Arabidopsis thaliana: one gene and its partners. The main gene of each other region encodes a partner of the protein of the gene in region 2 in a complex. Each region holds a gene or a part of one and is shown on either strand. Other genes may lie near its edges. The genes, in order: AT5G63480, AT5G19480 and NRB4.

Region 1 (3,608 bases), about 19 Mb from region 2:
ACCGCGATCATTCAGAGGGTAGGGGATGATATCGATCCAGATAACTTCCCCCAAATTTTGGTAAATATTTTCTTTTACATAAAGACTATGATGCAATCATTATCTAATTCTTCTCTTGTCACCCCCTGAATTGTTAAAATGATGGTTATAATGTGCAGTATGAAGATGAAGACCACGATAAAGTGTTGTTGGCTTCAGATAGTGACCTTCAAGCAGCCATAGAGCATGCAAAATCAATTGGCTGGAAGGTAAAAAGAACGATTTCCTCCTGCTTTAAACTTTTGGTTGATAAGCAACAAGAACCAAAGTCGAAGATGAAACCTTCATGAGATTGCCCATAAACCCCTTTTGCTTTCTGAATTGATTTGATCATTATAAATTGCAGAGTCTGAGATTACATTTGGATGATTCAAGAGAAGGCAAAGGAAGAAGAAGGAGAAGAGCATCAGGATCAGCAGAATCAATGGAGTATGTAGAGACAGACGCTTGGGCTGCTGCTTATAGTGGAGTTGCGGCTGGTGCAGCATTAGTAGCTGGTCTTGGTTTTATGGCTTTTCTCAGAAAATTCGGTCATTGATTCCTCAGAAACACTACAAGAAGTGTTTCTTTAACAGATCAATACAAACAAAAAAGAAAAACAGACACAGGGTTTGAAGGTTTTGTCTGAAATATTTTTATATACAAAAGTCATTTTTGATTATTTTTTTGGCTTCATGATATCAAAATAACAAATATCTAAAACTAATACATGGAGTAATTCAAGAACAAGGCTTAGAATCTTTGTCTAAACTGATCTCACTATTGTCAAAAAAATAAAACTCAAACAGAACAAGGGCTTTGCCATGTAGAGATATCTGCTATAAGTTCCCGAAGTTTATCTATAAGTTCTTTAACATGAACATTCTTCTTTGCAATCTCCTGCATGAACAAAAGCTTCCGTTTATTAATGCCAACAGAGAAGAACAATATAATCACTTCCCATAAGGTTATTAACATAGAAATCAAAATGACCAGATGGCTGAAATGTATTCAAAAAATTATCAACATTTCCATGGTTCTAGAACCGCTTAAGCTATAATGATACAAACACTTACACTAGACAGTGGGAAAGAACACTTTATACAAGAAAATATGAATCAAATTCAATGCTATGTGAGTTGAAATGTACAGAGAATTCGAGACTGAATAGTGTATCAATGTAGTAACATCAGATTGAAAACAAAGAGATGTAGAAATTGCAGAAAGCTTTACCATTCTGAGACTTAAGGCTTGCTCCTCCAATTTTTCGATCTCGTCTTCACTTTCAGGAGATCCTAAACCATTTTGCATTTCAGATGCTTTTGCCTGTAATAGATGAACAAATTCAAATTTATGAAACCTCAAAAAAGCTCTCATTTAAAATTAAGCAAGTTCACTACAAGTGAAGAACAAGACACTCAACAAGCATTAGATCCTTCATCTAAACTCTCTATCGATTCGAAGATTTCCTAATCTAAGATCTCAAAACACCCTAGGAATTCAAAATTTCCTCAGTCCAGAAACAACTCAGAACAAAACACTTCTCGAAATAGTTAGTAACATCACATTATGTTCAATACCTTCTGCGAATTTGGAATCGCAGCAAGAACAGCACGAAGCGAAGTCACTGAGTTCTTATACCGAAGACTCGCCTCATCCAAAACACTATTTCCACTTCCTCCGCCCCCGCCACCACCAGCAGATTCCGAATGATGCGATGTTCCATCAATCGCAGCCGCATCGGCGGAAACGAGAGCCGAACCATTAGAACCCGTCGTCGTCGCGGCGGAACTCGGGGTAGCTGAAGTAGACCACAAAGACGGATTACAAAGCTCATCATTCATGGCTGAAATTATCTGAAACGCCGCTTCAATAGTTTCTTCCAATTGCTTCTCTCCTTCCATCGCTAGCTCCTGTGTCGTCATCGTCGTCGTCGTCGAGACCTGTTTCTGCAGCATCACCGTGAACACACTTTATCACGGCGTCGGTTGACTAAACTATTAATACGATGTCGTTTTAATCAAACTATATAATATATATATCAATAATATAGTTTTTATAGATAAATAAAAATAGAAAGAAATCAGCTACATCGCTGTCTACCTTATCCACTATTACTCCAATCCATATGACAAAAACTATCTAAAACGTTAGTTTGATCTTTTGATCCAATCACAAGGCAAAGATCCAATGGACAATAACAACAACAACAACAACCAGCAACCACCACCAACCTCCGTCTATCCACCTGGCTCCGCCGTCACAACCGTAATCCCTCCTCCACCATCTGGATCTGCATCAATAGTCACCGGAGGAGGAGCGACATACCACCACCTCCTCCAGCAACAACAGCAACAGCTTCAAATGTTCTGGACATACCAGAGACAAGAGATCGAACAGGTAAACGATTTCAAAAACCATCAGCTCCCTCTAGCTCGTATCAAAAAAATCATGAAAGCTGATGAAGATGTGCGTATGATCTCCGCCGAAGCACCGATTCTCTTCGCGAAAGCTTGTGAGCTTTTCATTCTCGAACTTACGATTAGATCTTGGCTTCACGCTGAAGAGAACAAACGTCGTACGCTTCAGAAAAACGATATCGCTGCTGCGATTACTAGAACCGATATCTTCGATTTCCTTGTTGATATTGTTCCTAGGGAAGAGATCAAGGAAGAGGAAGATGCAGCATCGGCTCTTGGTGGAGGAGGTATGGTTGCTCCCGCCGCGAGCGGTGTTCCTTATTATTATCCACCGATGGGACAACCGGCGGTTCCTGGAGGGATGATGATTGGAAGACCGGCGATGGATCCTAGCGGTGTTTATGCTCAGCCTCCTTCTCAGGCATGGCAAAGCGTTTGGCAGAATTCAGCTGGTGGTGGTGATGATGTGTCTTATGGAAGTGGAGGAAGTAGCGGCCATGGTAATCTCGATAGCCAAGGGTAAGTGAATTCTAGTAATATTCAGCAATGTAGCTTGTTGCAATTGATTATCTATGGTTATTGAGATTCTTCATGAGCTTGCTTTGATTAGTCTTAGAGGAATTTGCTGCTCTGTGTCATCTTCATTGATTCTCATCAAATAAGCTAAAAATTGATAATATCAAAGAAGCTCAATTTACAGTATCATCTGGCTCATTTCTTTAGATTCATAAACAAAACTTTGTAAAATACACAATTTTGATATCCATTATTTGATTTGACTCACACCTTTGATTATTTGTACAATGTTGTGCAGTTGAGCTATGGAACCAGAAGCTTAGAGATTTAATCATCATTTCGACCCTGCAAGTGTCTGATTCTTATATGTCTATGATTCGAATGACTTACTCGAGAGAGAGAGAGAGATCAAACAAAACAAAACAAAAAAGCTCTTTTTCATTTTTCCTGTTAACTTATAAGTTATTGCAGCAAAACTGCAGACTTGCTTAACTATATATTAATCTAAATGTGCAGATTCTAATCTATGCTTTGTATTTTTGTTGATTCTTGCTCCTAATCTAGTAATGATCAGAGCTTATGTATGGCATATTGAGTTTGTATTTCATGGCTTGTAGTAGCTTTGAGTTCTCTGTCTCTTATAATAACTTCTTA
Region 2 (3,757 bases):
CTAGTTTGGGAAGCGAACAAGAACTCATGGTAAGTGTTCGTCGCAACCACCAACAACTTCACCATCGCCATGAAACTCAAGACGATGACCCTGTCATGGTAATTAAATTATCTCTCTCTACTTACTCTTCCATGGATTCTTTGGTTCATATTCACCTTGTGATGATCCTTTTCCCCTTAGTCAACGCGCATGGATCATCACAAGGTGGTATAACAATTCAGGAATTGATTTTCTCTTTGCGTCTTTTGTTTGTTTTGTGTTTTTGCATGCGCCTAAAAAGAATATTTCATTCCATTTCTTTCTTAACTCAGAGACATAATTGAACCATGAATGTTATTCAACTTAATTATGAGTTAATACATGCATCATAGTATCAGGTCTCATTTATGAATATGTAATGATAGTGTATCTTTAAATTTGATGTTATAGTGTATTGGCTTGCAGTTTGTTTCCATGGTTTTGAAATGATGTGTTTTGTTCGAACAATGAATTTATAGTTCGTTTCCATTTTCCCATTTTCTACTTTCTTTTTATTTGTTAGGAAAACTTTGTTTTTTTTTTTGCATTTTTTCCATAACATTTCAATAAGCAACCATATTTTAACATTATATTCCCACCTAAGCTAAATTTCATTACTTCTATTGTTAGATAAAAATATAATTAAACCAACTAAAAGTCTGAATCATATTATAATCTTTGCATTATGTTTTAACTATATGTTGGGAGTTACATAAATTTGTTTTGCTTGGAGCCTCCAAACTTTGAAGAGGCAAACATGAACGAAATGTACACTGCTTTTCTAGAGCGAATATGAAAACTCCATCTCTAGTTTGTATAACAGTCGAAATCACCTTGTTATACGAAGCATTATGCAATATGTGAAATGTATTAAGAGGAAGCATGTTGTCACCGTCATAAGTCTCTCTAACATTACTAATTTAATTACCATGCAGAAGAAGAAGAGGATCTTGACCTACATTAATTGTTGTATAAGGCCAAACTAGGGCTTTGTTCTTCTACAAAGTCGGAATCTTTCTCTCTTCAGCGATATAGCAAATATGTCTCAAGTGTGTAAAGACAGTAGTGTAACGTTTCTGTAATCTTCTTTATCACACACAAAAAAAAAAAACGTTCTGTTCTATGTGCATCATCTATTAAGATACCCCTGGTTGTGTTGTGTTGTGATACATTTTGACTTCTTCCTACATCATACGAGAACAAAATAAAACATGACTTAACCAAACCGTCAGATGCAGAATCCATTTAACTAATCTTCGATAAATTGAGAATTGTCGGATGATCATAGTTTTAGAAACAAGAGTTAAGAAATCATGCATTGATTGCTGGTACGATTTGGCCATTTGGGTGATTTTAGCTTTGGTTAATCATTCTCCAACTTCAATATAAAGGATCCGAACAATAGCAATGACTAAACGAATCACTTTTTGGCCTTAGCAAATTGGTCTTAATTATTTGGCCACAAATACACATACATATGACCATATGAAAAACAGTGGCTATCTTGCAACTGAGTGCCACCACCTAATCGTGGCCATATCCACTAACAAGTTGACCACCGTCTTAATCGGTGGCTATTGACGATTGCAACAAAAATTATTTGACGGCTATATTAGCATTTTTTTTTTTTTTTAACTATGTGATTAAAAATGCAAATTATAAGAAAATTGAAATTTTTATTAAAATAAAAATACAAATGTAAAAAAAGTCGTTGTGAAATCTGTAAAGTTGATCATACGCACTATGAAGCGCGTGAACCCCACGCGGTAACCCGTATAAATAACAAAATTTTGGACGAAAAAAAAACAGAAGAAGAAGAAAAAGAAATCGCGATTTTATAACGCCATTGTTTGAGGAAACTCCTAATCCATTCTCAAACCCTAGTTACTTCCTTCTCGAACGTTCCTCGATATTCCCGCGGGAAATTCACGACCAAGAGCAATCCGTTTTCCAGATTAGGGTTTATATCTCTGGGTTGCGATGAGATCTGCCTCGTGAAGTCATGTATGGCGGTGATTGATCTTTGCTTCAGCTTTGTTTTCGCTTTTCGTCAAATCTTGAGCTTATTGAGCTTTGGCTTGTTTGGTTTTCAAATTCCAATAATTGCAGTTTAATCAACAACAACAAAAAAATATGGAATCAGAGAGCGTTAAGTTTGGAGGTAAATTTGGTTTCCAAGCTTTGATTTTTGTCAAGTTTTATTATTTTGGGATTTGAGGGTCAATGAGCTTCTGGGTTTCTAAGTGCAGGTCCTAGAGAATTGGGTGGTGCACTAGATCTTATAACACAATACAAGTTGTTGCCACACCATGAATTCTTTTGCAAGAGATCACTTCCAGAGTCACTGTCAGATGCTCATTATCTTCATAATTTGGTTGGAGACACAGAGATTAGAAAAGGAGAAGGAATGCAATTAGATCAGCTTATTCCTAATGCATCACTTAGTAGCCGAGATACGAATGCTCGCATCCAACCTTTTGTTCTTGATGAACTTAAGGAGGCTTTTGAGCTTAATGATACAGCTCCTGTTGAATTGCCTCCAGTAAGAATATTGCTCTCTCTGTTTAGATTTTAACTTCCTGTAACATCTAGATCTTTTACTAACCATGATAAGTTGAATTACTTCCAAGTATCTTGTGATGATAGTTGAGCTAGGTTTGAGAATATGAGATCTCCTGTTCTTATTTCAGGCAGAGAAGGGAGCTCCTACCACTGTATCAAAATCAAAAAGTGAGTCAAAAGATAAGGATAGGAAACATAGAAAACATAAAGACAAGAAGGAGAAAGATAGGGAACATAAGAAGCACAAGCACAAGCATAAAGATAGGATCAAAGATAAGGATAAAGACAAGGATCGAGACAAAAAGAAGGAAAAAAGTGGACACCATGATAAGGTTATAAAACTGTCTGCTCTTGTTGGTACCTAGGCCGTCTATATATGTATATTTTGGATTCTTAAATTCGATAGAATTGACGTGGTATACGCTATCACTTTACTTTCAGAAAAGGAAGAACAATGGGACTGAAGATGCTGATGACGTTCAGAGGCACAAAAAGAGTAAGGTAATATACTAATGGCAATGGAGGCATCTCCTTCTTTTTAGTGAAGCTGAATTTAGAAGTTTCTGGTTACTCGCACATTGGTGTTGCTCTGCAAATTTTATTTTTGTCGGCCCTAAAATTAACTTTTTTGCAGCATAAGAGCTCAAAGCTTGATGAGATGGGAGCGATGTAGGTTGGAGGCTGAAGCCGTGCACACTTTCATTTTTGTATTGCACACCCAAGGTGTCATGGAGAGGCTTAGAAGCAGCTAACTTTGTTAGGTAACTCGGTCACTAGAGTCATCTTCTCATCTTTAGATAACGCACGTTTCTCATATGGGGCTGCGTCTGTCATAACCAACGGTACTGTACATGATGAATATGATTGAGTCAACAAAGCTATGGTTGTTTTAAACATGAAGAAATAATTATTGTCTAAGGCTTATAAGAAGATAACCTGGAACTCTAGCGACCGAGAGTGCACTAACTTTATTTTGGAGTCTCAAATAATTAGAAATGTTTCTATATGGTGTAGATTTGTCTCAACATAACATAAAATGATTTGGATTTGGTTTTGCAGGTTTAATCTCTAAATAAAAATTGCATTGTGGGAGAAGTTAGGAGGGGTTAAGCAACGAAAAGTTCGCCAAGAAGAATCACAACTTGTACATTTTGTTACACTTTAAACAAGCTATGAA
Region 3 (3,757 bases), on a different chromosome or scaffold from region 2:
TGCGGATGTTGCCTTAGCATCGACGATTGATGCTGACGAAGCATAGATTGTGTCGTCTGCTGAGAAGACAATTGCGGACTTGATTGCTGATTGGTGTGGAGACCTTGGAGAGGAGCTGAGTTCACAGTGGAGGGCTGAGTCGCAGATGTTGGAACACCAGGTTGTTGAGATGAATGCAGTTGATTAGGCTGCAGCACATTTTGCTGCTGTTGTTGAATGTGTGATGGCAAAAGCGAATTGGGATTGGGAACATTCCCTGACTGGAAGTTCTGCTTGAGAAGTTGCTGCTGTAGCTGCTGCTGGTAAAGATATGGCTGCTGTTGTTGCTGTGAAGACATAGCATGTGGCCTACCCAGCATCTGCCTTTGGGGTCCTGAAAACATGTTCGAGGAAAGGCCATGCTGCCCAGATGAATCTTGCAACATTCCAGCTACATTTTGCATATTGGCATTCTGGTTCACAACGCTTGTGGTGTTATTATTGGTTATGGAAGAAACAGGTGGCATGGAAGATGGTAAAGCAGTAGAACCCGTCATTCCAGAGGCAGTATTATTCTGCATGGTTTGGGACAGCAACGGCTGAGGTGCTTGAGATTGATTGGTTGATAACGATCCTGGAAGAAGTTGGCCTTGATTGGTGGGTACTATTCAAGGAAAGGTTAAACAGCATCAAATAAGAGGAACAATTAGCCATAAAACCAGATAAACAGACTTAAGCAATTCATGCTTGAGAATCGTGATTACTCGAATCTATGGATGTGCCATTATTAGCGGCAGGGATAGCTGCGGAAGAACCAGCTGCATTTTGTGATTTAGTCTCCATTGTCAGCATCTTCATTGATATTTTCCGAAGGTAATCAGTCTGAAAGGCGATATAAAAGAGTATCAGGAAGGTATACATGGATTTCATACCCAACATATTGTGGCTTAGCTTTACAGATACCGAAAGTCAGTTCTTTTCCATGTTGTGGAGTCCATTGCCTCACAAATCTCTATATTTACCATACTAACGAAACAAGAATATATGTTCATAATAACCTGGTTAAGAGCACCGCTGAAAATTTTCTCCTCGAATCTAGCTGCAATTCTCCTGAGCTCGTTAATTCCCTCTGGTCCGGAAAATGGAAGGTGCTTCTTTAGTGTTTCCATTCTGCGCAAGTGGCAAGCAAATAAGTAAAACAAACAAACTAACTATTGGTCAAGGAACATAATAACCTTCTATTTCTGTAGTATTTGACTGGCATAGACAAAACAACGCCGCTAGAGTGACTTACATCTTGTTGACGATCTTCTGACGAGAATCAGGTGGCAATTGCGTTCTCCAGTCACCTGTATCCATGGCAGGCTCTCCGTTTGGAAGAGAAGGCCTCCAATTGTTATTATCCATCAAGTTTTCTGTGTTTACAAGCCATGAAGAGCAAAGTATCAATAGTAAGTATACAGAGAAACCAAAACATGACAATATAACAACTGATTATCCCAAATCAACAGGAAACAAATGACCACACAACATGGATTAGATTAACACTCAGAATTTCTTATTGATCAGCCAAAATGTTCATTCTTTCTAATGTTGGTAGCAAAAAGCAATAAACTCAAAACATCAAATAGCCAATCCCACCGGAACGAGAATCCAGGAACTCAAAATAAGCAAACTTTATTACATCAACAAAGTTCATCTATTCTCGTAATTGTAATAAACCAGACCCAACTACAAAGGGAGATACTTTATCTTCTTTGGAATCCCGATCAAAAGAGAAAACTCTAAAAAGCAAGGCTTAAGAACAACAGAAAAAAAAACGAGATTCGAACATTTCACCTCAAATTCAGAGCCAATCAAGGAGATTTGGCGTTTGACGGAGTCAAGGTTGGTACAACGATTAGGGCTTGATATTAGGAAAACAGAGGAGAAAAAGGGGAAATTGGAGCTGGATTTAGGGTTTAGCTTGATCGAAAAACGAATGAAGAATATAGGATCTTCTAGGTAAAGAGACAGAGGAAACTTGTTCGCGTCGTAAATCATAATCGAGCCTACCAGTTCGCTTATAACAAGTTTTTTTTTTTTTCAAAATAAACAAAAAAATCTAGTATTAATTACCACATGTATAATTGTATAGTTTTCCCAGTTCAAATATGGTAGCATTGGTGCAAAATGTATTAGAAATTTGTTAACTAGATAATATGACCACTATTTTTCAATTTTAAATAAATTATATATTTTTCGTTTCATTTTAGAAAACGTTTTAGAAAAGTGATTATAAAGTGATAATAAAATTAGATATAATAAAAGTACATTAAGTCACATATGTTGTTTACGTTTTTTTTAACAAAACAGCATTTTTTATTAATAATTTTATAGGTTGGAAAAATAAACCTTACTAGATTTTAACCCGCGATACACCGCGGAGACAATTCATTTTTAAAAATTAATATATATAAAATTTGTAAATTATTTTATAGTTTACCATTGTTACTAAGTAACGTCCTGCCAAATCCGTCCTACCAAACATGTCCTGCCAAACCCGTCCAAAAAAAAAACTATTTATTTTATTAATGTTGATCTTATTTATAATATGTTTATGAATCATTGTCAAAATATTTTAGTCGTTGCGTGACATTGAACCCACACATTTTTCGCCAATTGGTTAATATATGTTCATTCTTAAAATTTCGAATCACAAAATATGACGAATTTTTTTTTGAGATTTTTTAAAACTCTATATATTATATAATGATGTTAATTTTTTTGATAAATTAAACTTTTTATAAATTCAAATATTGATAATGTTTTATGAAGTTTAAATATACAAATAATAATATTTAAAAAATTAATATTTTTTGCCTTTTAGGTAATGATATAATAACTCTAAAAGCAAGAATTTAGAAGATTTAAATCCTTAAATAAATATTTTCATGCCTAAATAATTAATGTCAGTAGTATGACATTGTAAATAAGTTCAAATACATGATTTGTTTATTTAAACAAAAAACGTTTAGTAAGAATAATATTTATTTAAACAAAAAACATTGTTTTAAAATATAGTTAATAAAATACGTTTATGCTAATTTTAAGGGATTGATGTGAAGTTTGTTTGGATTAAATTTGATTGATAATGTGATTGACAATTTAAATTAAAAATTTAAAGTAAAATTAATTATTTTGGAAAATATTTAATGTTAATGGCATTGGGTTGTAAATAAGTCCAACTCTAAGATTTATTTGCTAAAATGACTGCAAAAATGTATATGTAGATAGTTAAGGAATAAAATCCTTAATAATCTGATTTTAAAAATAAAAGCAAATAAAGACGATTTTCAATTAATTTTGAAATACATTTGTGTCCTTTCTTAATTCAATTATTTTAACTGTTTTGTTAATGAACTATGATATAAATATAATCAGACTAAAAATTTTTTTTTTTTTATAACTTTTTTATTATAGGGGATTTTAGAATAATCATCACATAATATTCATCAAACAAAACACAAAACCGGTTGAAGGTTTTATACATATTTAACAAATGTAAATTTCAGTATCATTACCTAAGAAACAATCAAACTCACCTAACTTGTCAAGTGTACATGTCCTATAAGTCAAAAGAGAAACTTTTCTTATGACAGAGGTTGTCTATGTGTAAATGTGTAATATGTTGATGTTTTCTGCAATATCTTTAGCCGCCAATGTTTGAAAGAGTTGGTGCGTATCAACTGCTCAATATTTCAGTCCAGTGAAACATAGTTTTAAGTTTTCGAAACGA

What was found.
Region 1: AT5G19480 (region 2) and AT5G63480 share a complex: the UniProt entries of both Arabidopsis thaliana proteins name them as parts of the mediator complex.
Region 3: AT5G19480 (region 2) and NRB4 share a complex: the UniProt entries of both Arabidopsis thaliana proteins name them as parts of the mediator complex.

What each region holds. Positions count from the first base shown.
Region 1 is NC_003076.8:25,415,685-25,419,292, reverse strand, and holds AT5G63480 (mediator of RNA polymerase II transcription subunit), read right to left. Parts: upstream 2,045-3,608; 5' UTR 1,977-2,044; coding exon 1,599-1,976; intron 1,345-1,598; coding exon 1,252-1,344; intron 919-1,251; coding exon 820-918; 3' UTR 658-819; downstream 1-657. Other genes in the region: AT5G63490 (CBS / octicosapeptide/Phox/Bemp1 (PB1) domains-containing protein), read left to right, coding at 1-60, 159-248, 386-577; NF-YC4 (nuclear factor Y, subunit C4), read left to right, coding at 2,209-2,961. UniProt on the Arabidopsis thaliana protein: Component of the Mediator complex, a coactivator involved in the regulated transcription of nearly all RNA polymerase II-dependent genes.
Region 2 is NC_003076.8:6,569,677-6,573,433, forward strand, and holds the start of AT5G19480 (mediator of RNA polymerase II transcription subunit), read left to right. Parts: upstream 1-1,824; 5' UTR 1,825-2,151; coding exon 2,152-2,179; intron 2,180-2,267; coding exon 2,268-2,560; intron 2,561-2,708; coding exon 2,709-2,912; intron 2,913-3,021; coding exon 3,022-3,081; intron 3,082-3,214; coding exon 3,215-3,253; 3' UTR 3,254-3,757. Other genes in the region: AT5G19473 (RPM1-interacting protein 4 (RIN4) family protein), read left to right, coding at 1-98, 954-1,004. UniProt on the Arabidopsis thaliana protein: Component of the Mediator complex, a coactivator involved in the regulated transcription of nearly all RNA polymerase II-dependent genes.
Region 3 is NC_003070.9:5,434,536-5,438,292, forward strand, and holds the start of NRB4 (mediator of RNA polymerase II transcription subunit 15a-like protein), read right to left. Parts: upstream 2,084-3,757; 5' UTR 1,819-2,083; intron 1,818-1,818; exon of another isoform or gene 1,679-1,817; coding exon of another isoform or gene 1,621-1,678; intron 1,395-1,620; coding exon of another isoform or gene 1,387-1,394; coding exon 1,274-1,386; intron 1,150-1,273; coding exon 1,038-1,149; intron 862-1,037; coding exon 744-861; intron 644-743; coding exon 1-643. UniProt on the Arabidopsis thaliana protein: Component of the Mediator complex, a coactivator involved in the regulated transcription of nearly all RNA polymerase II-dependent genes.